Macaca fascicularis: one gene and its partners. The main gene of each other region encodes a partner of the protein of the gene in region 4 in a complex. Links are inferred from orthologs where the notes say so. Each region holds a gene or a part of one and is shown on either strand. Other genes may lie near its edges. The genes, in order: MBTD1, VPS72, RUVBL2, ING3, MORF4L2, MEAF6 and ANP32E.

What was found.
Region 1: ING3 (region 4) and MBTD1 share a complex: the UniProt entries of both Homo sapiens proteins name them as parts of the nuA4 histone acetyltransferase complex. The link is inferred for Macaca fascicularis from reciprocal best matches to the Homo sapiens genes ING3 and MBTD1.
Region 2: ING3 (region 4) and VPS72 share a complex: the UniProt entries of both Homo sapiens proteins name them as parts of the nuA4 histone acetyltransferase complex. The link is inferred for Macaca fascicularis from reciprocal best matches to the Homo sapiens genes ING3 and VPS72.
Region 3: ING3 (region 4) and RUVBL2 share a complex: the UniProt entries of both Homo sapiens proteins name them as parts of the SWR1-like complex. The link is inferred for Macaca fascicularis from reciprocal best matches to the Homo sapiens genes ING3 and RUVBL2.
Region 5: ING3 (region 4) and MORF4L2 share a complex: the UniProt entries of both Homo sapiens proteins name them as parts of the nuA4 histone acetyltransferase complex. The link is inferred for Macaca fascicularis from reciprocal best matches to the Homo sapiens genes ING3 and MORF4L2.
Region 6: ING3 (region 4) and MEAF6 share a complex: the UniProt entries of both Homo sapiens proteins name them as parts of the nuA4 histone acetyltransferase complex. The link is inferred for Macaca fascicularis from reciprocal best matches to the Homo sapiens genes ING3 and MEAF6.
Region 7: ING3 (region 4) and ANP32E share a complex: the UniProt entries of both Homo sapiens proteins name them as parts of the SWR1-like complex. The link is inferred for Macaca fascicularis from reciprocal best matches to the Homo sapiens genes ING3 and ANP32E.

Annotation. Positions count from the first base shown.
Region 1 is NC_088390.1:55,444,692-55,448,965, reverse strand, and holds the start of MBTD1 (MBT domain-containing protein 1), read right to left. Parts: upstream 2,801-4,274; 5' UTR 2,769-2,800; coding exon of another isoform or gene 2,427-2,768; 5' UTR 2,100-2,426; coding exon 1,962-2,099; intron 1,916-1,961; exon of another isoform or gene 1,698-1,915; coding exon of another isoform or gene 1,677-1,697; intron 1,048-1,676; exon of another isoform or gene 984-1,047; intron 1-983. Other genes in the region: UTP18 (U3 small nucleolar RNA-associated protein 18 homolog), read left to right, coding at 2,427-2,768. UniProt on the Homo sapiens protein: Chromatin reader component of the NuA4 histone acetyltransferase complex, a multiprotein complex involved in transcriptional activation of select genes principally by acetylation of nucleosomal histones H4 and H2A.
Region 2 is NC_088375.1:110,036,189-110,039,688, reverse strand, and holds part of VPS72 (vacuolar protein sorting-associated protein 72 homolog), read right to left. Parts: intron 3,357-3,500; coding exon 3,180-3,356; intron 1-3,179. UniProt on the Homo sapiens protein: Deposition-and-exchange histone chaperone specific for H2AZ1, specifically chaperones H2AZ1 and deposits it into nucleosomes.
Region 3 is NC_088393.1:56,988,371-56,991,870, reverse strand, and holds part of RUVBL2 (ruvB-like 2), read right to left. Parts: intron 2,527-3,500; coding exon 2,385-2,526; intron 1-2,384. UniProt on the Homo sapiens protein: Possesses single-stranded DNA-stimulated ATPase and ATP-dependent DNA helicase (5' to 3') activity; hexamerization is thought to be critical for ATP hydrolysis and adjacent subunits in the ring-like structure contribute to the ATPase activity.
Region 4 is NC_088377.1:162,563,701-162,567,649, forward strand, and holds the start of ING3 (inhibitor of growth protein 3), read left to right. Parts: upstream 1-1,149; 5' UTR 1,150-1,267; coding exon 1,268-1,295; intron 1,296-1,534; coding exon 1,535-1,606; intron 1,607-3,676; coding exon 3,677-3,777; intron 3,778-3,949. UniProt on the Homo sapiens protein: Component of the NuA4 histone acetyltransferase (HAT) complex which is involved in transcriptional activation of select genes principally by acetylation of nucleosomal histones H4 and H2A.
Region 5 is NC_088395.1:110,058,189-110,062,308, forward strand, and holds the start of MORF4L2 (mortality factor 4-like protein 2), read right to left. Parts: upstream 2,801-4,120; 5' UTR 2,742-2,800; intron 2,269-2,741; exon of another isoform or gene 2,254-2,268; intron 1,478-2,253; exon of another isoform or gene 1,409-1,477; intron 41-1,408; 5' UTR 1-40. UniProt on the Homo sapiens protein: Component of the NuA4 histone acetyltransferase complex which is involved in transcriptional activation of select genes principally by acetylation of nucleosomal histone H4 and H2A.
Region 6 is NC_088375.1:197,413,606-197,417,606, reverse strand, and holds the start of MEAF6 (chromatin modification-related protein MEAF6), read right to left. Parts: upstream 2,801-4,001; 5' UTR 2,793-2,800; coding exon 2,703-2,792; intron 1,606-2,702; coding exon 1,490-1,605; intron 1-1,489.
Region 7 is NC_088375.1:111,027,968-111,031,908, reverse strand, and holds the start of ANP32E (acidic leucine-rich nuclear phosphoprotein 32 family member E), read right to left. Parts: upstream 2,801-3,941; 5' UTR 2,465-2,800; coding exon 2,411-2,464; intron 1-2,410. UniProt on the Homo sapiens protein: Histone chaperone that specifically mediates the genome-wide removal of histone H2A.Z/H2AZ1 from the nucleosome: removes H2A.Z/H2AZ1 from its normal sites of deposition, especially from enhancer and insulator regions.

The DNA of each region.
Region 1 (4,274 bases), on a different chromosome or scaffold from region 4:
GAAATTTATTTGCTGGCTTTTAAATCAGATGCATTATTTCTACATTATATCTGTTATGTCTTGACCCCCCAATTCACCATATTAGGGAGAAACAGGCACATCCAAGACTCTTAGGCCAATAAAACTACTTTTGGAGGCAGCACAGCTCACCAAATGAAGGAGAATGTTAAAGAAACACCCAGTGACAATAGTTTCAACTGACCTATCTCAACCAGCCAGGGATAAGTACTGGTGTATGCTAGTATAAGGAGAATTAAAAATATTGTAAACTCTAAACAAGTATTAAAATGGTCCATAAATTTCAAATCTCATAAAAGATAGTTACTTAAAAAAAAAAAAAAAAAAAAAAAAGGAGTAAAAGCATTTGGAAGAGGGACCCCTGGAGGAAAGACTAGCTCCCGAGGAACACAGGTCAAATGGGTGGGGGCGGTAATCATCTAATCATCCCTCTATCAGGTGATGCTTCAGTACCATCCCTAACAGTTTTAGACATCCTTAGGAGAAGTGATTTAGGTAATCCGCAAATGTGTTTTGCGATACAAGAACCACGGAGATGACGCTGAAATTTCTGACTTCAAAAAGATGCACTCGTGAGAGAAAACAGGCATGAAATTCCCATATTGTAATTATTTAGCTTCCTGTAGAAAAAACACCTTCAGGCATGTAAGGCAGCACATTTGACACTGACCCAGCAAAGTTTTCGGCTGGCCCTCACTATCTCTCAACCCCCCCTTCCTCCACTTCCCTGCTGTTCTTTCCTGGCACACAAAATATAGGCCAATGAGCAGTGGGTGGGTGAGGAGGATGTGAGAGAAAATTTGAGAAGTAAAAAAAGGAGCAACTTAACCAGGACATGAATGAGAGACTGAAGGGTCTAACAAGGGTAGGCAGACAACAATTAGAACTACTGAAAAATGGGCTTTCCAGGGCAGTAGTGAGCGCTCAGTGCTTTTAGGGGTTTAAGCAGGGGTCAGACTACCTACCCCTTGTCAGAGAGGCTGCAGAGGGGACGGCTGCTTTAGATGACCTCTAATGTCTCTTCCGACTCTGAAATGTTAGGATTCTTATTTCACAAAGGAGAACGCAATGGTCATAGAAGCCCACCGACTTGAAACCCTTTTAAATACGCAGCCTTGGAGGCTGCTTCCCAAACACCACTCCCACCTCTCCCGCACGTGCCCACCCCGCCCCCTTTCAATATTTCCACCTCCACGTGCAAACCGCCTCGCGGCACTGGCCCCAAGCCGGACAGACTCCTACCCCTGCAAAGCACCAAAACTATGCTCTCCCTCCCCGCGAAGAAGAGAGGACTACTCCACTCTCCCACCCTGGGTGGCTAAAAAAGGAAAAGTCTCGGATCCAGCCTTTCCCCCCTAGCCAGAGCAGGGGGCGGGGGCAGGACGCAGAGAAAAACTTTCTTCTCGAATTTTTCTTCTAGAGGGTGGAGGAGATGGAGAGAACCCCAACGAGTCCAGGGCTGACGGGGTGGGGGGAGGGGAACCCCTGAATCGTTTAACGGCTGGAAGGGGGAGGGGGGGCTCCGGAGATTGAGGGGGCGTGGGATGGAGAAGCAGGCCAGGGAGCAGGGTCAAGGAGCTGCGGGGTTCCTGGGGTCGGGGAGCTGCAGGCGTCCCCCCCACCTGGCACACAAAGCGGCTGCCGCGCTCGGCTCTCACCAGATCCTTTGTGTTTTCCATCAGGGCCTCATGGGTAGGGGTTGTCCGTGCTCCCCGAGCCCGCGGCGCCCCCTCCCCGGGCTGGGGGCAGGTGCCTCTCCCCGGGACTGCGGCGACTACAGAGGGCCCCCGGCTGGGCCCAGACCGGTGGCGGCTGCGGCAGCCCCCGGATTTCCCCCCTTTAACTCGGGTGGCCCCAGGATATCAACAACATTAGCATAGCCCTCCCTCCCCAGCGCGCCTGCGCCGTGACCCGCGCCCCGATTGGCCCACTTCCCTACATACCCTCCTCACTCGCTTCCAGCGTGGGACCCTCTGCAGGCTCCGTACTCCAAGGACCGTACCAAGACGAGAGGTGGAAAGCGCATTGGAGCTTGTGTTAAAGCCACTGGTTAAAGTCAACAGGAAAAGCAGAAGTTTCATTCAGCTGTCCGAGTGTATACTCGGGCTTTCTTGCGCTCCTTTCAATATGTTGCAGCTGCGAAGTTGTGTTGGAAAAATTTTCCACTCCAGTCACGCCGCTTCCCCCTACACCCGGAAGATTGGCCCTCCCGGAGGAACTCCCACACGGGGCGGGGCTGGGTAGGGGAGTGAGAGTTACGTAGAGGGAGGGAGTGCTGGTCACGTGGCAAGAGGCTGCGCAGGCTCCTTCCGGCCCCAGGGGCTTCGGCGGCGGCGGCCAGGGAGGTGCCTGGGCGCATGCGCAGCGAGGTTCCACGTGAGCGCCTGCGTTTCTCCTCAAACCTAACGATGCCGCCGGAACGGAGGAGACGAATGAAACTGGACCGGAGAACCGGAGCGAAGCCGAAACGGAAGCCCGGAACGAGGCCGGACTGGAAAGCCGGAGCAGGGCCAGGCCGGCCTCCCCAAAAGCCTGCCCCTTCATCCCAGCGGAAACCGCCGGCCCGGCCGAGCGCTGCGGCCGCTGCGATTGCAGTCGCGGCGGCGGAGGAGGAGAGACGGCTCCGGCAGCGGAACCGCCTGACGCTGGAGGAGGACAAACCAGCCGTGGAGCGGTGCTTGGAGGAGCTGGTCTTCGGCGACGTCGAGAACGACGAGGACGCTCTGCTGCGGCGTCTGCGGGGCCCGCGGGTGAGGGAGGCCGCGGCGCGCGGGCTGGGCGCGCTCGGGCGGGGCGCGCGGTGGGCGGTGAAGCTCTGGGGGGCGGAGCCTGGGCGACCTGCGGCGGCGGGGAGCGCTCAGGTGGGAGGGAGCCTGAGAACGCGGGCGCCGAGGGTCGCAGCTGCGGGTCCTTCGCCTCCCTGCTCCAGACTGAAAGTGTCTGGAGGGCGGGGACCGCGCCTTTCTCCGCCCCCGGAGGCGCCGCTGCTCGGGTATCTGCTTTGCGAACTGTGGTAGTGAGCATCTTTCGCCGCTGCTCGGCTCCGCTAGCCTCTCCCCAAACAATGTGGTCTTTTGATCACCTGCCTCAGTTCCTTGTGATCTAGGAATTCCATTTCGTTGATGGAATCAATTCGTGGGCACGGGCCTGGGCATCTGCGTTGTAACTATCTCCCCATGTGACTGTGAGACCCACAGGATTTTGAGAATGATCGTGAATTTCGTTCATTTAGCAAATATTGGGGAACCTGTTGGTTGCCAGATACCCTCTCTGGCAATGGCAAACCCTGCGTGATTCATCATACTTTTTGCACACATTTTGCTATCCATTTAATTCTATACCAGGCTTTTCTTGAGAGAGTCCCAGACATTGTTCTAGGCACTGGAGGAGACACAGCAATGGACAAAACTGACAAAAATCCCTGCCTCTTGGAGCTTGTATGCTAGTGGCAGAGACAAGATAGATGAGATAAACCGGTAAACTTCAGGTTTGTTGGTGACAAGTGCTGAAGAGAAAAAAGGACATACGGTAAAGGGAGATGAGCGTGTCTAGAGGAGGCCTGTGAAATTTTAGATAGGGGGCGGAGGAAAGCGCACCGAAAATTACCCAGTCCATGTTTCTTACACAAATGCTGACCCATCTAATGTCAGCTGCTTACCAGAGCCTCCTTCGGGTGCTTGTGGGAGAAGTGGCAGCAATCTATTTGGGAAGTACAGAACTGCTACTGGAAACTGAACTTTGTGACAGTTTTGTCGTCTGGAAAAGGAAGAGTGTACTGAGGTGGGAGCTGTTGGGTTTGAAGTCTGTTTATTAGACTGGTAGTAGAGCAAGTAGAAACCACTTGGACATTTCTGTCCTGTGGTTTTGGGAAGCTCAAACTCACTTCAAGGGGTATTCTATGGTTTAGGTTTTTTTTTTTTTTTTTTTTTTTTTTTTGAGACGGAGTCTCGCTCTGTCGCCCAGGCTGGAGTGCAGTGGCCAGATCTCAGCTCACTGCAAGCTCCGCTTCCCGGGTTTACGCCATTCTCCTGCCTCAGCCTCCCGAGTAGCTGGGACTATAGGCGCCCGCCACCGCGCCCGGCTAGTTTTTTGTATTTTTTTAGTAGAGACGGGGTTTCACCGTGTTAGCCAGGATGGTCTGGATCTCCTGACCTCGTGATCCGCCCGTCTCGGCCTCCCAAAGTTTTTTTTTCTTTTTTTGAGACAGAGTCTCGCCCTGTTGCCCAGGCTGGAGTGCAGTGGCCCCATCTCGGCTC
Region 2 (3,500 bases), on a different chromosome or scaffold from region 4:
CTGACCTCAGATGATCTGCCTGCCATGGCCTCCCAAAGTGCTGGGATTACAGGTGTGAGCCACTGTACCCGGCCACCACACTTTCTTTCTCACCTCCCCCATCTGAGGCCAATTCCTCCACCATGCTGCTCTATCTCCCAGCCTTGCCTCCCATCTCCAAAAACCTACACTATTAATAACCTTTCTTTCTTCTCTTTCTTTAAACTCAGTTGTTTCTCATGAAAGATATAGTTTCTAATTATCTTCAAATAAAATAAAAACAACTTTACCTTAATCTCAGACCCCTCTGTAGCTTCTATTCCCTCTTCTACCCTTCATAGCCAAGCTTGCAAAGTTTTGCTCCCCAATATACTTCGATATGGCTTGGTCGCCAATAAGTGCTAAGGTCATGTCTGACCTCTATCTCACTGAAACCAATGGGCACTTCTCAGTTCTATTAATCATCATCTCAGCAGCAATCAGTAGTCACTCTCTCGAGGCATTCTCTTTCCTGGCATTTTTAACACAAACTCTCCTGGGTTTCTCCAACTCGTTGGTCACTTCCAGGCTCTTTTCAAAGCTCCTCCTCTTGTATGAAACTATCACGCTTTAGTGTCTGCAGGACTCTATCAGGCCTCTGTTTTCTCACTCTGTGCTTTCTCCCTGCATGCTCAGATGCACTCCAATATTGTTAATTACCATCCATATTCTAAAGACTTCCGAATTTATATTTTCAGCCCAGATCTCTTATTGGAACACCAGATTTGCATATTTAACTGACCTCTCATCACTGCATGAATTGCTCACAAACTCCTTAAATTCAACATGTTCAAAAATAAATTTATTTTTTCCCCACTGAACTTGCTCCTCCTTAAGGGTCTCCTAAGCCAGTTACTGACACGGAAAACCTAGGAGTCACTCTCCTTACGGTAGTCCAAACCAATCAATGTGGACAAAGGATGCAGACTGTAACTACAGTAACATCAAGGTGACCTTGTTGCTTGTGAGCCACCACACCCATGCCCAGCGAAGTTATCTAAATTGCAAAACTATTATTAGGCCAGGCGTGGTGGCTCACGCCTGTAATCCCCGCACTTTGGGAGGCTGAGGCGGGCGGATCACGAGGTCAGGAGATCGAGACCATCCTGGCCAACACGGTGAAACCCTGTCTCTACTAAAAATACAAAAAATTAACCGGGCGCGGTGGCGGGCACCTGTAGTCCCAGCTACTCGGGAGGCTGAGGCAGGAGAATGGTGTGAACCCGGGAGGTGGAGCTTGCAGTGAGCCGAGATCGCGCCACTGCACTCCAGCCTGGGCGACAGAGCGAGACTCTGCCTAAAAAAAAAACAAAAAAAACTATTATTAATCTGGTATGGATGGGTCCCAGATATTCCAGGTAAATAATCTCCCACTTCTGGGAAATTACATCTGGCTTATGCATATTCAATTATGTATGGTTGGCCAAAAAGAAAAAAAAAAGGAGAGAGAGAACAACAATAAAAAGGAGATTCAGAAAGAGAAAAATAGCCAGGCACGATGGCTCACGCCTGTAATTCTAGCACTTTGGGAGGCTGAGGCAGGCAGATCATGAGATCGGGAGATAGAGACCATCCGGGCTAACACGATGAAACCCCGTCTCTACTAAAAATACAAAAAATTAGCCGGACGTAGGGGCATGCACCTGTAGTCCCAGCTACTCGGGGGGCTGAGGCAGGAGAATCGCTTGAAGCCGGGAGGCGGAGGTTGCAGTGAGCCAAGATCGCGCCACTGCACTCCAGCCTGGGCGACAGAGAGAGACTCCGTGTCAAAAACAAAAAAAGAGAAAGAAAACATATTAAATACTGTAGGTGATTCCACATGCTATTTCACCCAGAAAGTATGTACCAGGAGGTATGAATCTGCTGGTCCCTCAATTTCTCATGTACCTTTCATGATATGAGACTCTTACTACTCTATAAAGAAGTATATATTTTTGTATAATATAATACCGTACATGGTTCTATGCCTATAAACTGGAGAGGTTTTTGTTTTTTTTTGAGACGGAGTCTCGCTCTGTTGCCCAGGCTGGAGTGCAGTGGCGCGATCTCGGCTCACTGCAAGCTCCGCCTCCCAGGTTCATGCCATTCTCCTGCCTCAGCCTCCCGAGTAGCTGGGATTACAGGTGCCCACCACCACACCCGGCTAATTTTTTTGTATTTTTAGTAGAGACGGGGTTTCACTATGTTAGCCAGGATGGCCTCGATCTTCTGACCTTGTGATTCGCCTGCCTTGGCCTCCCAAAGTGCTGGGATTACAGGCGTGAGCCACTGCACCCGGCCGAGGGTTTTTTTTGTTTTGTTTTGTTTTTTTTGAGATGGAGTATCGCTCTGTAGCCCTAGCTGGAGTGCAGGGGTATGATCTCGGCTCACTGCAATTTCCATCCACCTCCCAGGTTCAAATGATTCTCTTGCCTCAGCCTCCCAAGTACCTGGGATTACAGACATGTGCCACCACGCCCAGCTAATTTTTGTATTTTTAGTAGAGACAGGGTTTCATCATGTTGGCCAGGCTGGTCTGGAACTCCCAACTGCAGGTGATCCACCCATCTTGGCCTCCCAAAGTGCTGGGATTACAGGTATAAGCCACCACGCTTGGCCCAAACTGGAGAGATTTTTAAAGCAATACCATAAAATGAAGAGATTTTTAAAGCAATTTATCTCATGAAGGACTAATCTGCTGACTTTACATTCTCATGATTATCATTAAAGTCAACATTATCACCCCCTGCTTTTTTTTTTTTTTTAAAGAGATGGGGTCTCACTATGTTGTCCAGGCTGGTTGTGAACTCCTGACCTTAAGCAATACTCCTGCCTAAATTCCCTGAGTCATTAGGTGTACACCCTATTTTATAAACAAGAAAAGCAAAATGTGAATAAGTAAAGTAATTTACCTACAGTCTGAAAGCAAGTGAATAGCAGAACCAGGATTTGACCTCAGTTCTATACAACTCTTATTTTACACCAAAGTACCTTAGCTTGTTCTTCAGAGTGCTCATAACTGCCTAGACCTTTGCACCTAATCATCTACTCTCTGCCATTTCTTCCTTCTGATTCTCTCATCCCAAATTTCCATCTCTCCAATTCTTTGGTTCTTCAGGTCTCATGGTTTTTCTCATGCCCCTCAGCCCCTCTACCCACTTTTTCTGAAACCACAGACTGACCCAGTGAACGTAAATTAAGCTCTTCTGTGATCTTGGCCTCCCGGAGCAGCTCCTCCTGGGTTAGTGGCCGCTCACAGTGGGGCCCCTTTCGCCGTCTTGACTGGCCCTGCCTCTCCTGTACCCGAAGGAACGTTTGTCGTGTATGCTCAGCTGTAGACTGACGCATGGACTTCCTACCTGGAAGAGAGTGAGATAAGAAGAAATCTTTGAATTTACGTCCACCTATTTTATTTATTTATTTATTTTTATTATTATTTTTTGAGATGGAGTCTCGCTCTGTTGCCCAGGCTGCAGTGCAGTGGCACGATCTCGGCTCACTGC
Region 3 (3,500 bases), on a different chromosome or scaffold from region 4:
AGAAGCCAGGGAGGGCAGGTTGCTCTGGCAGGCCTGGCTTAGAATCCCACATTGCCCAGAGTGTACACCCTAGAACCTCACCACACCTCAGTCTCCCAGCCTTTATGAGCTGTTTAGCCTCAGAGCTGGGCGATGGGGAGCAGGGACGAAGGCCAAGGGGCTGCCACAATAGTTACAAGTGATGAAGGCAGATTGCCTGGGTTCTGATCCCAGATCCACCACTTAGTGCAGTCGGCACCGTGTGATCTGGACGGCTCCCCGAGTCTGTTTCCCCCTCGGTCTGATGGGGCTGATAACAGAATAGGTGCTGGCATGGCATGACACCCTGCCTAGGAGCAACTATGGGCAGGCAGGCAGGCAGGCACTGGTGCTCAGCGGTAACATGGTTGCACAGCCTGAAACCGGCACAGGGCAGGGCGCTCGACCGCCTGTGGCCTGGGGTGGCTGGCAGGAAGCAAGGCTGTCTCCAGCAATGGCTCTGAGCGCCAGACCTTTCCCTCCAGCTTCCTGGCCACAAGGTTTGGCCCAATGTGGGGCATGCCCTTACAGACAGGCTGTTGCCACACCCTCCTGCCCAGGGTCAAGGGGCACCTCTTCTTGGTCCCCTTTGCGGATGCACAATGGCCCTCAGCACAGAACTCAGCAAGTATCTGCTGAGGACTGAGTGGACGAGCATGACCCATGCCACCTGGGGATACCAGGGGTCCTCTCTGCCTCCTTCACTAGACTAAGGAGCGTCCCCCTCAGGGCGAGGCCAGCCTCACCCCAGTGCTGCCCAGCACAGGGTTTGGTCTGCAGGAGGCTTTGCCTGGGAGACACAAGAAGAGGAAAGGCGAGGCCAGGCACGGTCACAACATGCCTAAAAAATAAAGTCTACAGGCTCACGCCTGTAATTCCAACACTTTGGGAGGCCGAGGCAGGCAGGGGAAACACCTGAGGTCAGGAGTTCGGGACCAGCCTGGCCAACAGGGTGAAATCCCATTTCTACTAAAAATACAAAAATTAGTTGGGCGTGGTGGCACACATCTGTAATCCCAGCTGCTTGGAAGGCTGAGGCAGGAGGATCACTTGAACCCGGGAGGCAGAGGTTGCAATGAGCGAAGATCACACCACTGCACTCTAGCCTGAGCAACAGAGTGAAACTCTTGTCTCAAAAAAAAAAAAAAAAAAAAGGAAGAGGAAAGGAGAAAGGATGGAGGGAAGGAAGGCACTGTGTGTGCCACATTCTGGGCCTGGACATGCTGTCCCCAGTGTCTGCCCAGGAGCCTCCTGGCCATCCTACTAGGCTTAGCTCAGGTATCCACTTCTTTGGAAGCCTCTACCGACAAATGCCACCACATGCCCCGTTTTCCTACTAAGGTCAGGCGCCTCCTCTGTCACATGCTACCTCCGCTGTAACACATGTCACCTTGGAAGGGATCGTGTCCATGACCACCTCCTCCAGACCAGGAGCTCTTTGAAGTCAGGCCTTGGTCTAACTCATCTATGGGTCCCCAGTGTCCAGTGCAAGGCCTGGCACCCCAACAGGCATTGCTTTATCTTCACTGAAGACCTGGCTGTTACTCAGATTCTCCCTGCCTGGCCCCATCCTCAGCACAGAGGTGGGAGTGAGTGGGAAGAGCATTGGGTTAGGAAAAGCTTCAGTGAGGCAGAGATGCTGAAATAGGGTTTTGAAGGATAAATAGGAGTTCAACAAGGAAGAAGAAGAACAGCTGGGAGTGAAAAAATCATAAATCACTAGTGGACTGCAATAGAGATGCTGGGTGACTCCTCAATACCCACCTTCCCCTTCCTCTTTAGTTCCAGAACCCTCATTTTCTTTCCTATTTTCTTTTTTAAAATTTCTTATTTTTACAACCTGTTGTCCAACAGAAGAATCCTCATTTTCTTAAGGCAAAAATGGTCCAAATTATGAAATTTAAACAAACATCTAATGTCCCAGCCTCCCCAGAAGCAGAGTGTGATCATATGATTAAATTCTAGTCAATGAGATATAAGCAGAACATGGAGGATTTCCAAGATGACTGCTTAAAGGAAGCCAACCGGAGGGGTTCACCCTCATGCTAACTCTTTTCTTCCTGCTGCCTGGATTATGAATGCGAAGGCTGGAGCTCCGGCAGCCCTCTTGGAACACGACGTCCTCTTGACACTGGAACCAAGTGCAGAGGATGATGAGGCAGGAAGACGGAAGACTTCCTGGCACTACTTAATAAGCCCCAAATGGCCTACCTCTAGATTCTTCCACGGCCGAGAACGAATTGTGAGTGTTTAAGCCACTGCCACTTTGGGTCACCTGTTAAATGCAGCTGATCCTGACCCTGACTCACACAGGAGGAGTTATTTACCAAGGACCAGGAGAGTTCCTGCCCTGGGAGGTTTCTTACCCATGGCGATGGCCGTCTTCCCTGTGCCTGGCTGGCCAGCAATGAGGACTGCCCGCCCAGCAATCTTCCCTTCCCGGATCATCTCCAGCACCACTCCAGCTGCCCGCCGTGCCGCCAGCTGACCCACCATGCCCTGCGAAGCCTGTGGGTGGGAGGCAGCACATGAGGTGATTTCCTACGGGGCTACCACTGCATTTCTTTTTGTTTGTTTGTTTTTGTTTTTTGTTTGTTTGAGACGGAATCTCGCTCTGTCGCCCAGGCTGGAGTGCAGTGGCTGGATCTCAGCTCACTGCAAGCTCCGCCACCCAGGTTTACACCATTCTCCTGCCTTAGCCTCCCGAGTAGCTGGGACTACAGGCGCCCACCACCTCGCCCGGCTAGTTTTTTGTATTTTTTAATAGAGAGAGGGTTTCACCATGTTAGCCAGGATGGTCTCGATCTCCTGACCTCGTGATCCACCCGTCTCAGCCTCCCAAAGTGCTGGGATTACAGGCTTGAGCCACCGCGCCTGGCCCTACCACTACATTTCCACCACATCCTGGCTAGTGAGATGGAAGCAGACATTACTAGCGGGACTTCTGGGAAAAGCCAAAAAAGCTTTCTCCACTTTTTTTTTTGGAGACAAGATCTCACTGTGTCACCCAGGCTGAAGTACAGTGGTACGATCACGGCTCACTGTAGCCTTGACTTCTAGGGATCAAGAGATCCTTCCACCTCAGCCTCTTGAGTAGCTGGGACCACAAATGTGCGCCACCATGTCCAGCTAATTTTTAAAATTTTTTGTAGAGACGGGCTCTCACTATGTTACCCAGGCTGGCCTCAAGCTCTTAGGCTCAAGCAATCTTCCCACCTCAGCCTCCCAAAGCATTGGGATTACAAGCATGAGCCATTGCACCCAGCCTAATTTTTTTTTTAAGGTGGCAAAGCAATTGCTACCCAATTCCAATTCTTTTTTTTTTTCTTTTTAGATGTCACCCAGGCTGGAGTGTAGTGGCACAATCTCAGCTCACTGCAACCTCCACCTCCCAGGTTCAAGCAATTCTCCTGCCTCAGCCTCTTGAGTAGCTGGGATTACAGGCATGCACCACCATGTCCGGCTAATTTTTGTGTTTTTTG
Region 4 (3,949 bases):
ATTCACGACAGGGAAGTTTCCTGCTTAAGATGAGTGAAAACCTTGAGTAAGAGTATGTAATGGAGAAGGAAAGCAGGGAACACACACACACAGTTTCAACTGCAATCTGAAAAACAGAAAATGAAAAATAAATTATCAACTAATGACAATTTCCCCAGAAAATCGAAGAGCTAAGAAGAGAGGAAAACAACACCTAGTATTTATTGAATGCAAGAGTTTTTAATAAAAACAATGTAAAAAGAAACTGAGTAGGGACGTACTAACTATATCACAGGAAAACCTTCGCTGGGAGACGTCGAAAAGTAGAAAAAGAACGCCCAAGACAACCAACCTCGAATATGGACTATTTACTCAACATAAAGTTACTGCTATTACAGCCTATTCGAGATGAAGGCTCCATCCGTAATTCATGGCTGCTCACTATGATGATGATGATTATTACTATTATTTGTGGGTGCACATTGTATGTATAGATCAATTACATTAGAATGACGATTAGACGGACTGCAAACTACAATATGTAAGTGGCTATTGACACTATTTGTGCATCTTTTAATCTGGGAAATGCATATTCACTCCACAGTCTCAGTATAAACCATTTCAAAATTACACGTAAGCCAACCAGGTGTCTCTCTTATATTTTAGGAGTGAATAATGAGGATAAATTCCAGCAGAGAGTTCTGGTTTAAGTAACCCAAATTCCCCGAACTTTGCTGATTATCCTAGCGTTTAGAACCTTTGCTATTTGCCTGGCACTTCTTGAAACCCATGACTCACAAACGCCGGGGCATGGAATCACAGCAAAGAACAGGTGAAAAGTTGTTCCTAGTTGTGTTATGCAGGCGCACACAACTCCCGCCATTCTCTGTGCAAAAATCAACAAATAAACAGAGGCACCGCATTTCGGATTCTGTTACGCACTGTTTGCAATGGCGCCTGGTATTGGTAGTTTCTACGAGGGGAGCCGCCAGCGCGCCAACCCTTGCTCAGCAGGAAGAAAACTACATTTCCCACAAAGGCACGGGGGCGAACACCGGCCGGCTTACGTCATTCCTTTAACCAACCAATAGCAGTTCCGGGCGGCAGTGAGGCAAGCGCCGTCAGGCGCCAAAGTGGTTTTTTTTTTTTTCTCTTTTTTTTTTTTTTGCCGGAGTCGAGCGGGTGCTGCTAGCGGAGGCGCCATATTGGAAGGGACAAAACTCCGGCGACAGCGAGTGACACAAATAAACCCCTGGACCCCCTTGTTCCCTCAGCTCTAAGGGCCGCGATGTTGTACCTAGAAGACTATCTGGAAAGTGAGTGCGCGGCGCTGGCGGCGGCCGCCGGTGGGACCTGCGGGAGGGCAAGAGCGCGAGTGGACGGGCAGCGAGATGGCGGGAGGGAGGGGGCGGCGGGGGATGTTTCTCTCTCACGGTAACTGGCAGCCTCGTTGTGGGCTGCCGGCCCCCTCGACCCCCCTGACGCACGCGCGCAGTGACGTAAGCGCGTATTTCGCCGTTGGCCCCGCCCCTCTGACGGACTCTCCCTTTGACAGTGATTGAGCAGCTTCCTATGGATCTGCGGGACCGCTTCACGGAAATGCGCGAGATGGACCTGCAGGTGCAGAGTAAGTCGGCGCGTCTGCTCTTCATGTTGGCTGCGCGCGTTCAGTGCCAGACTTGCTTTTCATCACTGCTAGCGCCTAATGCTCTTTCACTGTCCTCTGGCTCACTCCGCTAGTGCATAAGGAGTTGTCAAAAAGAACTGGCAGCCCTGAATCTCGCCTTTTCTTTCCCTCCCATGCTACTTTTTTCTGGCTTTTGCAAGAGGAGGCGGCATTGGGACAGGTGTATTCCTTTCTAGAATGTAGGATTGTGCAAAAAATATTTCTCTACCGTCATTGAGATAGTTATCTATGTTTCAATGCACGTCAGCATAATAAATGTTGAGATGTTGTCTTGAGCCTTTTCGTATCGAACTTAGATTTCAGCATTTATACTTATTTTAAAGTTCATCCTATTCAGTTTTTCAAGAGTGGAGAGCATAGAAGCACAGGTTATATATAGCTCTTTAGAGACCCTGGCGAATGTCAAATTTTGAAAACTTAGTTACACATTATAAGATACATTTTAAATTGTAACAGAATCGTCATTTTCTTGGTTAAAATGAGTGACAGAAATTAGATTTCACTGTAAAGTTTCATATGTGCTGTACTAAAAATTTTAGCAGTTAGTGAACATTTATTTTTCTTTCAGTGATAGCTTGGTAGTCTCTGTGACTTTTTCCCCAAATTAACTTTACTCTTTCGTAGAGCAAGGACTATAAATAGGTGGCTTAGGGACCACTTGCTGCAGCTAAGAACCTGTCCTTTTCACTGCCCCTGTCTTCTCTGCCCGTGACCACACACCCACTTCTATACCCTTTGTTTATGCGTATATGTTTCCAGTAAGTTTCAGGTGGCACATAATAAAAAGTGGTGGCATGGAAGCCACCTTCTGTTCAGTGGATTGTGGTATGAAGTATGAATTGTGTGTGTGGTTCTCCAGCTATCTCACAAATTCATTTTAATTTTAGTGTAGTCGAAATGCTAAAGATTTGCTGAAGTATTTTCTGCAGGACTGAGCATAGACATGGATGTCAGATAGATCTGAGTTTGTTTTAGGGCTTTACTAATTTACTCATTGACTCTGACTGTATTACCACTTGTGTGGGGCTTTCATTGTCTGTAAAAAGAGAATCATCTAAGGATTTAAAATATTACAGATGGATTAGAATTTATAGTATCTGATACAAAGTAGGCATTAAATAAAGGGTAACTTATTTTAAATTTATTTTTATATTTTGTTTAAAATTTTAAATTCTCATAATTTGGGCTTACAGTATACATATTACAGGGTTTTTAAACGTGCATTTCTTTACAGTAACGAATTTTCTGAAGTTAATAGATATTATGGATTAACAGAACAGTGTGCCAAATAAATTCAGAAATGCTTATTTAAACAAAGGAAGATACTGAAAATTAACCATAGTACTTCACAGAGTCTTTAAAAGGCTATTGTGGACTGAAAATCTCCAAAAGAAGTATGCTATGAAAAGATTTTTCTCAACTTACGTAACAACAGAATCCTTTTTATTAATTTTTCCTTTTTTTTAAGCAGACATCCAATGAGATGATTAGTCTTAGCACTTAATTTGGGGAAAATTTATCTAGAATTAATGTTTAAATGATTGCACCTACTACTTTCAGTTGGGATATGACATGATGAGATGTTTAATGCCTTATACCAAATCTTTTTATCACTTTTTCTTGTTGAAAGAAATGTGAGGATTATCTAATGGTGTTTTCATTGTGTTTTGGTACATTTGTCTGATTAACACCTATAGCTTTTGACCCCAAGGCTGTATTGCTCAAAAATTATAGGATAGAGCCGATCTACTTTGTTGACTCTACTTTGGCTATTGGAAAAAATTTTGAAATAACAAAAACAAAAATAATCTGTCAATAAGGAAAATTGTAACTTTTTAAAGGAAGGTAATTGAGGCTTTATATATTTACATAATCAAAGCATAACATATTTAAGTTACTGGCAAAGTGAAAGAGTATATATTGTCAGATTTTTTTCCCTCCCTAAATCAAACCATGTATATTTAGTATATGAATTTGGTCATTTAATATGATTTTTTTATTATGTCATAGATGCAATGGATCAACTAGAACAAAGAGTCAGTGAATTCTTTATGAACGCAAAGAAAAATAAACCTGAATGGAGAGAAGAACAAATGGCATCCATCAAAAAAGTATGTGCGACACTTTGGATAATTTATCAAGAAATATTGGGACCCTCTGAAAAAGATATTTCAAAATTAAATAGTGATCTGGATATCAAAATAAGGGAATATTATCAATGACTCTTTAGAATGTAAATAATTTAGTGTGGTTTAGAGCTTCAGATAGCGATTTTTAGTCATT
Region 5 (4,120 bases), on a different chromosome or scaffold from region 4:
ATCCTCACTATACAGCAAACTTAGCTTTTCTGATGGTGACCTAGAAGGTCAAACAAAAGGACAGGAAAGGACATAAAATAAAAAGATATGAGATATGGCTTTCTTCTACATCAGCCAATGCAATTTCATCACACACAAAGGACACCAAAGCTGATAAATAATGTACAAGTATTTCTTTTTCCTTTCTTGTGGCTACATTTTCAAATTTAACTTATTGTATATTTATATAACTTCTGACAATTTTTTTAACTTTTCCTTAAAGATAATTTCAAATGGATGAAATAAAAGAATAGTATTACAAACCTACACGAATCCATCATCCAGCTTTCAACAATTACCAACTGAAGGCCATCTTGTTTCATCTATAACCCCACCCACTGCTCCCCCCCACCCCCGACTTTTTCAAGCTCACGGGAATATCTGACTTCTGTATTTTATTATACAAAAATTTAAACGTATACCAAGGAAAGCAGATTAATATACGGAACCCACTGCCTATCACTCAGCAAAAACTATTATTAATTTAGGGTCAATTTTGTTTCATCTATACCCCTCCCCATTTCCCCCTACCGCTTAGATTATTTTGAAGCAAATCCTAGTCATTAATGTATTTAGAAGCCAATCCCAGACATTATATTATTTAATCCGTAAATATTTTCGTATATGTCTCTACAAAAAAGGACAATTTGAAAACATAATCACAATACTACTGTGACGCCTAAAAAAATTGACATCAATTCCTTAAAAAACATCAAATATCGAATCCATGTTCCAATTTTCCCGATGCGTCTTAAACATATTTTTACAGTTGGTGTGTTCGATTCAGGATCCAAACAAGGCCTACTCATCGCATGTGGTTCATCTCCAGCTCGCTCTCGTTCTCCATCTCTTTCTTTCTCGCACTCCACCCCCCCACCTTTTATTTAACTTTTCAACATGGGAAAATTACAATCTCTGCAATTTTGAGGCAATTCCCAAAGAGCAAATTATTTCATTGGTAAAAATTGATATATCTCTTTTATCTTTAATTTATTCTAGGAAAGAAGTTGATGGCAGAAAGGGCACTACAATTAGCGAATTTATATAATTTATAATTTTTCTCATTCTATTACGTGTATTATTTATCTCCATAACAATAGCTAATATCTTCAGGGGCCAGGCTTCATATTACGTGCCTTATACGCACCATTATACAGTACACGTCTCTGAGGTAGATACTATTATTATCACCATTTTACAAACATGGAAACCGAGACACAGAAAGAACAGGAGCCTTGCCCAAGCTGGGCGTTGGCGAGCAGGAATCTGAATCCAGCTCTGACCGATTGTGAAGGAACTAGCTAATCCCGTCTATACCCGACGAAAAGAGGAAATCATCGACCCTTTCTCCCCACCCCCACCCCGAAACCTGAAACGAGAATCCAGATCTTCCCAGCAGACGACGTGTGATCACTGCCGTTCCTCCAACCGCCATAGTAAAGCCAGGTTTCTCTGGCAACTGATATCCATAGGCAGACACGTCACCCTGGAGGAGGGCGTATGCCCTTCAGCCAATCACAATCGTCTTGTCTAAGTTTTAGAATGTTCCATAACCAAATGATTGGACAACCACCCCCACGTCAGCAATGACACTTCGCCGCAGTAAAGGCGGGTGCTAGCAACCTGCTTCTTCACTGTTAAGGCCTACAGCAAACCAATCCTCTTCCTCCGTCAGTGCGCGTTCCGGCCAATGACGTTCGCCCTCTTAGGTTTTTAGCCCGCCCTCCAAAAGCGTGACAGCCGTTGGGTCATAAGTCTATAGGGCAGAATGTTCACGTGGCCTATTTCACGACCCAGAGTTCCTCTGACCAGAAGGTTTTTTTTTTTTTCCTTTTCCTTTTTTTTTTTTTTTTAATTTTTTTCCTGCAGGGAGGCATTATGGGTTTGTGTTTCCCCCCAGCCCCCCACTGGGAGAGGAAGTGTCTACGTGGCCTGCGGAAATAGGCGGAAATGAGCTAAGGTTCCCGCGAGTGGGGAAGCGCGAGGTCAAATCTGGAGCCACGCCCCCAGGCCTGTGGCGCAACTCCCCGAACATGGAAAAAAAAGGCGCAGTGGGGGGTTCTGCTGTGTTTGCGAGTTAGGGTCGTGAGTGCAACGGGCGCAAGGCATTAAGGCCAGTGTGTTAGTGCGCGGGCAGGCTCGAGTGCCCCTGGGGTTGCTGTGTGAGCGGCCCTCGTGGCGCTGGAGGTGATGTGTTTGCGCAGGCGTGCGCCCCTGGCGTCTGGACTGGTGAGAGCCACGGCGCGCGCCCGCGTGCGTGATTGGGGTGGGAGTTGCGGGGAGGGGTTAGCTACTGCGCGCAGGTTATCTATTTCTGTATTTTGTTTGAAAATGTTCTAATGAAAAGGAAAATAAATAATTAAGGCAAGGCGACAATAACAGAGATAAAGGGGCACTGTCAGAAATATTTTGGCTTTCCCTGATTTAAATACTCCTCTGTGCCAAAATCCGGTCGTAAACCACAGCCCTCCAATGATTCAGAGCCAAAGCCTTCCATCGTCACATTAGCAACTCCAAAGGGAGACTTCTTTCAAGTTGTCTAGTATCCTCCTCCCTCCCCTCTTCCACACCTCCCCCCTCCCTTCAAGGTTGCGTGCAGTTCTCTTGGCACAAATACAATTTTCCTATGAGAATATCTATCTATGACAGCCTTCCCCTCCGTTAGAGACTCCGGATTTTTATGGTGACTAGGGCGCTCTTACCTTTGCGTTCTGATCTCCAAGCAAGCACACTGACCTTCTTCAGGCAAATACGCACTGTTAATTTTCCAGAAAGTTCTGTGGGTAAGGTTTATACCTCTCGAGTTCGCCACTAGATGCCGCCAAATCCCAGCAAAGGATTGGCTGTGTGGTCCCTGGGATTCTGGGATTTTGTTTCCCTCCCCCCTCCCCTTTCTTGATTTGCTGAACGCTAATATCTAAGGCATCATTGATATCGTTCATTCCTAGGAAAAAATAAAATCAGCTTCTGTGAATAGCACTAGTAGGCAGGGAACTGTGACCCAAGATCCAAATAATTTTACTCATTTCTTTCCTTTTCTCCTTGGGTGGGGGGGCGGGGGGGAAGGCCCCTCTCCATCCCTCGCTTCTTTTGTCCTTGCCTTGTTTAATCAAAGAGTTAATGAATGACCCAAGCACTGATGCTGAAGATCCTAACCCTTTTTCCTCAACTTTTCAAATGCTCGCAACTCACCCAAACTGAAAATACAGATAGCTGTTACTTTAGTAAAGAGATAAGAACTCATCAGTAAAACTTGGACCCTGGTATTGAAAACTGATTTTCCAAGGCCGGGCGCGGTGGCTCAAGCCTGTAATCCCAGCACTTTGGGAGGCCGAGGCGGGCGGATCACAAGGTCAGGAGATCGAGACCACAGTGAAACCCCGTCTCTACTAAAAATACAAAAAAATTAGCCGGGCGCGGTGGCGGGCGCCTGTAGTCCTAGCTACTCAGGAGGCTGAGGCAGGAGAATGGCGTGAACCCGGGAGGCGGAGCTTGCAGTGAGCCGAGATCGCGCCACTGCACTCCAGCCTGGGCAACAGCGTGAGACTCCGTCTCAAAAAAAAAAAAAAAGAAAACTGATTTTCCTTTTCTCTTGAAATTTGTATCAGATATGTGTGTTTGCACCCTATTTTCTGTAGTGGTATTGGTAGATTTTATTGTGTCTTTGGAGTGAGAGAAAGAGACTTAATTGTTAACCTCATTCCACCACTTACTAGTCTCAGTACCCTGGGCAAATGATTTATGTTCTGTGATCCTCAGTTTTTTGTATGCTTTCTATATTTTAGATGCTGTGTTATATCCTTCATGTCGATTTTTTTTTAAATTTATCACCAAGTCCTTATTAGATGAGCAGTACTAGATCAAAGTCAAACAACAAAAATCATACCCCTTTCAATTATCTATCTTATATACTTGTACACAAGAGGGATTTTTTTAGAGCAGTGGTTCACAAGATGTGTTTCCTGGATGTACCAGAAACATCAGCATCACCTGAAAAATTGTCAGAAATTCACATTCTCAGGTCCCACCTCAAACTTAATGAATCAGAAGTTCGCACGGTGGGGTTTGGTAATCTGTGTTA
Region 6 (4,001 bases), on a different chromosome or scaffold from region 4:
GTTATATAAAACACACCTATTGGCCGGGCGCGGTGGCTCAAGCCTGTAATCCCAGCACTTTGGGAGGCCGAGGCGGGCGGATCACAAGGTCAGGAGATCGAGACCACAGTGAAACCCCGTCTCTACTAAAAATACAAAAAATTAGCCAGGCGCGGTGGCGGGCGCCTGTAGTCCCAGCTACTCAGGAGGCTGAGGCAGGAGAATGGCGGGAACCCGGGAGGCGGAGCTTGCAGTGAGCCGAGATCGCGCCACTGCACTCCAGCCTGGGCAACAGCGTGAGACTCCGTCTCAAAAAAAAAAAAAAAAAAAAAAAAAAAAAAAAAAAAAAAACAACACACCTATTGGGGAAAACTAGATGAAGACTACAAAAGACCATTCTGCCAACTCCCTATGAATCTATAATTATTTCACAATTTAAAAACGTGAAATGTAAATACAGGTGTGTGCTTATATTAATATTATAGAGAGTAAGAGAAAGCAAATGTCACAACACATTAACAATCTGAATACAGGTAGGACAGTATCAAGTGTTCATATACTATTCTTCCCATTTTTCTATAACTTGAAGATAATCCAAAAGTTTAGAAATTTTTTAAAAATATTACTAAGCAAGCAGTGGTACAGCTGGCACACAGGTATGGCAAAAATTGTGAGGGTCAGTTGGGCGTGGTGGCTCACCCCTTTAATTCCAACACTTTGAGAACCTGAGGCAGGAGGACTGCTTGAAACCAGGAGTTCCAGGCCTGCCTGGGCAACAAAGTGAGACCCCACTTCTACAAAAAAAAAAAAATGTTTTTAATTAGTCAGGTGCAGTATTGTGTGCCTGTAGTCCCAGCTAATTGAGAGGCTGAGGTGGGAGGATCATTTCAGCCCGGGAGTTTGAGGCTGCAGTGAGCTAAGATTGTGCTACTGCACTCCAGCCTGGACAACAGCATGAGACCCTGTCTCTTAGAAAAAAGAAAAGTGGCCAGGCATGGTGGCTCACACCTATAATCCCAGCACTTTGGGAGGCCAAGGCAGCAGATCACCTGAGGTCAGGAGTTCAAGACCAGCTGGGCCAACATGGAGAAACCTCGTCTCTACTAAAAATAAAAAAATTAGCCAGCCATGGTGGCATGCGCCTGTAATCCCAGCTACTCAGGAGGAAAAAGAAAAAAAGAAAAGAAAAATACTGTGAGGGTAGAACTCACGACTGATTAAAATGTGTAAAAAATTTAATAGAGTGATGTTGTATAAAGATATTGTTATATGCTGTATTTAAGCCTCACACAACCCTGTGCCAAAGGCCCAACTTTTGCTATTTTACAGACGTGAGCTTTGTCTAAGATTATTCAGTGAGGCAGTGCCTGAGCCAGAGTCCAAGAGTTCAAGTCCAGACCACACCACCACTTTACTACTGCCTCTAGCAAACTTGCTACTAAGAGCCTACAGTCCTACAAACACACACAATAGGAACACAATAGGAACACTACAGGCTTTCGACACTCACTTTTGGTTGGTCAGATACCGATCCCAGCCACGAATAATATTGCCATACATCTGAGTGTCTTCCAGGTAGCTTCCCTCAAAAGCATAGATCTGTCGCTCCAAGTTTGCCAGTGTTTCCTGAGAGATGAAAAACAAGGACATGAATAATGCCTTTTAAATGCAAACACTTAAGTCTGACCAAAATGAAATCCTGATATTAGATTTGTAAACGCAAGCTTGTCCACACTAAATCACCCTGTGGAGAGATGGATGATATGGGGAGGAGCAGCCGTTTAGGACTAAGACAGTCTAGACCTTTGGGTGTGATGGACCTCTGAATGTATAAAGCATGTCCCCAGAAAAATACACACACACGCGAAATTTTGCATATACTTTAGAGGATTCACGGAAACCAGGAGTCAAGAACCCAGGCTAACGCAGAACTTGTGCGATATCCACTCCCACGCACAAAAGGTATCGCTACCAGGAGAGGGAAGGGTGAGCAGCCTTTCAGCGTCAACTCGCTCCCCTCCCCGCAGGCTCAGAGAGGCCGCCGGCACCGGGCTGCCAGTTGCTATGGAAACCTGGAAGGGCAGCTTCAGGTGAGAGGGGCCTCCGGGGTGCCCAAGCCGAGACGTGAGGGCAGGAAGAGCTTAGCCACCAGGGTGCATTGGGCCTTGGGTGCCTGTCACAATTCCGAATTCTCCAGAATGTGTTCTTCTCCCTCGCCTGTCACCTTCTAGATATTCCCAAACACATCACAACCCTGTCTATCAAAAGCCTCCATTCAACGGATCTACTACTAGTACCAAAAAGAACACGCTCCCCACCATCCTCCAAAGTCCAGACAGGGTGACTCGGTCCCCCTCCCACACTAGCCTCCTACCCCACCCCCACCCCGCAAAGATCACGGACTCGCCCGCCTCGCCCTTCCTAGCGCCCTCTCCCCGAGTCCCGAGCCCCGGCACCGTCCTCCCTCCACGCCCCCTCCTGCGGCTGCCGCTGCCCCTCCCCCTCCCGCGCTCCCAGCTCCCTCCCGGCTCCGGATTCGCACAGCCGGGAAGCTGAACCGCCGGCGGGCCGCAGAATGCGCACCCGGCCTCAGGCCGCCGAGCACACAGCCCGCCGCGCCGCGCCCCCGGAGTAACGAACGGCCTGGCGCAGCCGGGCTTGGGGCCTGGAGGCGGGGCGGGCGCGGAGCCCCATGCCGGGCAACCCCGGTCCTAGCCCCTCACCGCCAACTCCTGCTTCCGCTTCACGAGCTCCGCCAGCTCCCGCCGGGTGTCCGGGATCTGCGGCGGCGCCGCCTTGTTGTGCATCGCCATGTTGGGCTGAGGCGGGCGGCGGCGGCGCGAGGTTGGGGGCGGTCCCTGCGCCGCCAGGGGGCGCCCCCCGCACTGCGCCTGCGCGCGCGGCTTCCGGAGACGCGTGCAGCGCCGCGCAGAGGTGCTCTGCGGCCGGGACTCTGGACGATCCTTCTCGGAGAGGTCCAGAGAGTCGGCTTCTGCTCTGCCCTTTACGCCGTTTCCTGCCCCTCGGCTGGCCGCGGGCTTTACAGACGGCACAAATCTACCGTGTCCAAAGCCTAGCTCGTCCTCAGGCCTCCGAGTCTCCTGTGCGTCCCGCCTCAGTCCACTTCAGTGAATGACTTTCACTATCCACCGCAATTGCCTGCGTCAGAAACCCGGTTTTCCTCACTCTGCACCCGGAGTAAAACGCGATACCAGGTCAAGCCCTGTGGATTCGACTCCGGAAGAGCTCGCGAATCCATTTGCTTGTGCCTGCGCCTTTTGCCACCTTCTTAGTTCATTCAGGCCCTCCCTGTTTGGGGCTACGTTATTCCAACAGCTTCTTTATTTCCACCTTTAGCCCCATTTAATCCACTATCCACAGTGGTGCCGGAATCTTCCAGAAACAAATGTTATCACTCCCCTGTTTAAAGCCTTTCAGTGGCTTCCCATTTTCCCATTGCCCTTTGGAGAAACAAGTATGTGTAGTGGTTAAGGGCACAAAACTGGAGCGAGAACTACCTTGTTCAAAATCCTATCGCTACATCGATAAAGTGTGCCCCTTTGGGTAAATAACCAAATCTCAACTCCCTCATCTGTAAAATGAAAGCAGTGATAGAATCTACTTAATACAGTTGCTGTGAGGAGTAAATCAGCTAATGTGTGTAAGGGGTTTGGCAGGTGCCAATGACTCTGCAAGTACGAATTCGCTTTTATCGTTAAGTCCAAGGTGTAGACGTTGTTTTCACTTGGCCCCTGTTGATTTCTCCCTCCTCAGCTCTCCATCTTTCACTCTTCTGCAATTTCGCTATCATAAGTCTAAGTGGGATATTTTTTCTTTTTGTTTTGTTTCTTGCTTGGAAGTCTTTGGATTTCTATAATCTGTGGGTTGGTATCTTCCACCAGTTTTGGGAAATCGCAGTCATTTTTCTTCAGATGCCTGTCTCATATTCTCTCTCTTTCTGGAACTCGAACATAAGAAACCTTTATTTTTAACCTACCGTCTATATTTTCTATCTTTTTGTC
Region 7 (3,941 bases), on a different chromosome or scaffold from region 4:
GGTTCTCTATACCCGATGTGAAAACCTGTTTGAGGTATCCGAGGGCTAAAATTTGGCAACAAGGAATGCCACCTTCTCTATTTGAATACGACTTTGACATAATTATTTCTGTTGCCAGAGAGAGCATCTTGAGCTCCGTTTTGGAGAAGTGGAAGCTATGGCCCAGAGAACAAGAATGGCTTGCCTAGAGTCACACTTGGTTTGCCGCAGGGCTGTGAATTGGTTCGTCTTCACACTCCCCATTTAGTTGAGGAGTGGGGGCTACTAGATTTGGTGTCAGAAAACCAATTCCTGCACTTGCGTAAATCATTTCACTGTCCTGAGACTCCGTCTGCTAATTTGGATTCTAGAATAACACAATCCACTTTACAAGTGTGTAAGGAGGAAAGTAAATAACAAACGGAAAAAGTGCTTTGTAAACTGTCTACACAAATGTAAGAGACCGTTATTACAACACAGAGGAAGAAGCTGAAAAAAGGCAACGTCCTGCACTCCCAAAACTGGCAAAGAAATTACTACAATCACTAAGTCAAAGAATCCTGGCGGGGGAGGCGGGGGCGGGATTCAATTTTCCAACCCAAGCCACCAAAAAGTATTCTAAACGTGTGCTTGTGAGAGACAGCTTTTCAAGTTTGATTTTGTTTTTTCCCTGAAGCCCCTAAGAATAAGTTCTAGAAACTTCAAGATCTCTCCGGGATGACCCTGATAGCAAGCAACTGTTTCCCCTCCCTGGCCCCTGCCAATTTCAGAAAACAGGCACCTTAAAAAAAAAAAAAAAGGCCGGGCGCGGTGGCTCACGCCTGTAATCCCAGCACTTTGGGAGGCTGAGACGGGCGGATCACAAGGTCAGGAGATCGAGACCATCCTGGCTAACACGGTGAAACCCCGTCTCTACTAAAAAATACAAAAAAAAAAATAGCCGGGCGAGGTGGCGGGCGCCTATAGTCCCAGCTACTCGGGAGGCTGAGGCAGGAGAATGGCGTGAACCCGGGAGGCGGAGCTTGCAGTGAGCTGAGATCCGGCCACTGCACTCCAGCCTGGGTGACAGAGCGAGACTCCGTCTCAAAAAAAAAAAAATGTATTAAAAAAAAAAAAAAAAGTCTTAGTTGCCACTCCACACGCCGTACGCGAAAGCCTAGACAGACCCTGCTCATCCTCTATGCGGGTCTGCACAGACACCACCCGTTATATCCTTCTATCGATCGGTCGATCCAGCTACAGACAACTCCCTTACATTCCAATTCTAGGGCTTCTTTCAGCAAGACAGATGCTTTCCTCTGCGAGGCTCCCCGCTGGCCACCAGCCCTGCTCTCGCGACCTGCCGCTCCGACTGACGGGAAACCCCACACCGGGCGGGGACTCCCCAAGGAAAAAAGGGGTCGCCTCCCAACCCGCGTTGCCCTCGCGCCTTCGCCCTGGGTAGGTGAGGCCGAGGAGGCAACCGCGAAAAGGAGGCGGAAACGCCTCCTGCCCGACCCCCGAAAAGTTGACCGCGACCCCGCCTCATGTGGCCCCTCCCAACCCCGTCTCTTTAACTAAGGCAACAGCAGTGAGAGCGCATCATTTAGTTTCGGCGAACCCATCTTTAAAGCACGAAACTACTACGTCCCTTAATGTTGAGTTCTGTGAAACCGTCTCCAGGGATCAAATTCAAGAGTTGCGGCCACACGACGTGCCACATATCTTTACACGGCGGGGGAAGAAGCGGATTACGCCTCCCGTCCCCTCCCCACCTCCGGTCACTGCGACGAGTCCCCAAACTCGCCCGCGGTCAGAGAACCCGCGGCTGACCCAGATTCCGCCGGGCGGAGGGCGGAGGGCGGAGGGCGGAGGGCAGCGCGCGCGGCTTCCCGGAGGAGTGGGCGCCGCCGGAGCAGACAGTGCGCGGACCCTGAAAGCGACCCCAGTCCGCGCCCGTCGCGACGTCGGACGCCCAGGGCCTCGAGGCCGGGGGAGCCCACCCCCCAAAAAGATGAGTTGGCCGCACTGCAGAAAAGTTGGACTAACTTCTCAGGCGCCGATGGCTGCGGCAGGGGCCGAGTGGGACTGGGGGGTCGCGTCCCACGCCGCTGGCCCTCAGGAGGAGGAGCGCCGGGAGCGAAGCGGCAGAGCGCCCCCACCAGCCCGCTTCCCGCCCCCACGAGGCCAGGACGCCCGACTCGATGAAAGCCGAAAGGAGCTAAGCCCCCATGCACACACAAAAACGCCCCTAGAAACTTCAACCCTTCGCCATTTTAAGTAGAAGATTTTAATGATTTAAAACTTAAAATTAAACATTTCCCCAACCCTAAACCGGGGGGGCGGGGGCTAACTTATTACTCCATCCCCGCACACCCACCCAGGACCACCAGAAATCCGATCCTCAGAATACAGGACTGATGGGGAAGGGGTGGGGGCTGAGTCATCTCACCTCCTCCGGGGCTCTGTTCCTTAACTCCAGGTTAATCTTCTTCTTCATCTCCATGTCCTCCTCTTGCTCTTCAGCTACTACTCTCCTTCTTTTCCCTTTCCTGCCTTTCCCAATACCCCCAACCCAAAATTTTTAAGAGATTTAGAAATGAATGAAAAGGAACGCAAATATAAACGCCCACTACCACCAGATAGGTGTGGGGGAGAAAGAAGAGAATAGCAAATGGAGTCCAAGAGTTGGGACTCTAACTCAGCTGCCCCCACCTCCTTGTCCACACACTAGCGCGCGCACTCACACGCACGCACGCGCGCACACACATACACACACACATACACACGCACACACACACACACCCGCAGTTCCTTCCCCTTCAATGGCTGCTCAGAGACTGAGCCTCCATGACACGGCACCGCCAACCCCCTGGCCTACACTCCACCCACCTCCCAAACGTATTGGTTGATTCTTTAGCGTCACATTATTCCATTGGGCTAGGTAAATGTCTATCAGTCTTCAGGGAGGACCTGGACCAGAAACTCCGTATCTATTGGCTACGATCAAGGGCGCAGTTAATTCTGATAGGTCCAGGAGGGTGTACGTTCGGGAGTAATGATTTTGAATCCCAGTTCCCCCCCTACTTTTCTTTATGTAGTTGGCGCGCTTTCCCTGGGCACTCGGACGGTTTTGTTGTCTGTTGGATTTGGTTTTTAGTTTTTGGTTTTTTATTCTGTTGTTAGTGTTAAAGAGGGAGAAAGCATCCTTCCGTGCCCAACTTGCGATACTGATAATTCACCACACGGCATGCACTGGCTCTTGGCCGTTTTAAAAACACAGCCTCTGCTTTGCAGCCAAGGTGTACAGCAACGTGCGCATCACATTAAAAAGATGCCTTGGTGGCATTGTCCTGCTGGGGTCAGGCTTTTCACAGAGGCTGACCTTCCGTGATGCAGAGCCAGAGCCAAGATTTTAAAGATGGTAGTTTAACACTATAAAAGACAACAATTTTGAAAGCTGTTGGGTGAAGTATGTAAGTTAATAATATTTAAATAAAACTATCCTGGAGGAATTGTTACTGAGTTAATTTTTGCTGTAATAAACACTAAGACCTTGGAGGAAAAACAACGCTGGCCTAATGAAAATCAGACATTAATTAGCATAGAAATGGCACAGCAATGCCTCTCTAATTTCCCTTTGGTTGGTTTCCATGGAAATCTGTAGGTAAAGTGTGCTTTTAAAAGTGTTTATCGCTTCTTCTCTGCCTTTTGGCTAAGATCAAGTGTAGGATCTGTTCTTAACAGTTTAATATCTGATATATTTTCTATCCGAGTCCAATATATTAAATGGATTTGGGGAGCAGGAAGACGCAATAGGAGCTTTCTTGTTCACTTAACGCATCCACCTGGTATTACAGTACCTCCAGGAACAGTGCACTCCCTCAGGGGATTAAAATTTAGTGTTCAAGACAGAAGAAGGAAAAAAACAAAACAAAACCAGTTTGTCTATGTGGGATGGGATATGAAAGAGTAGGATAATA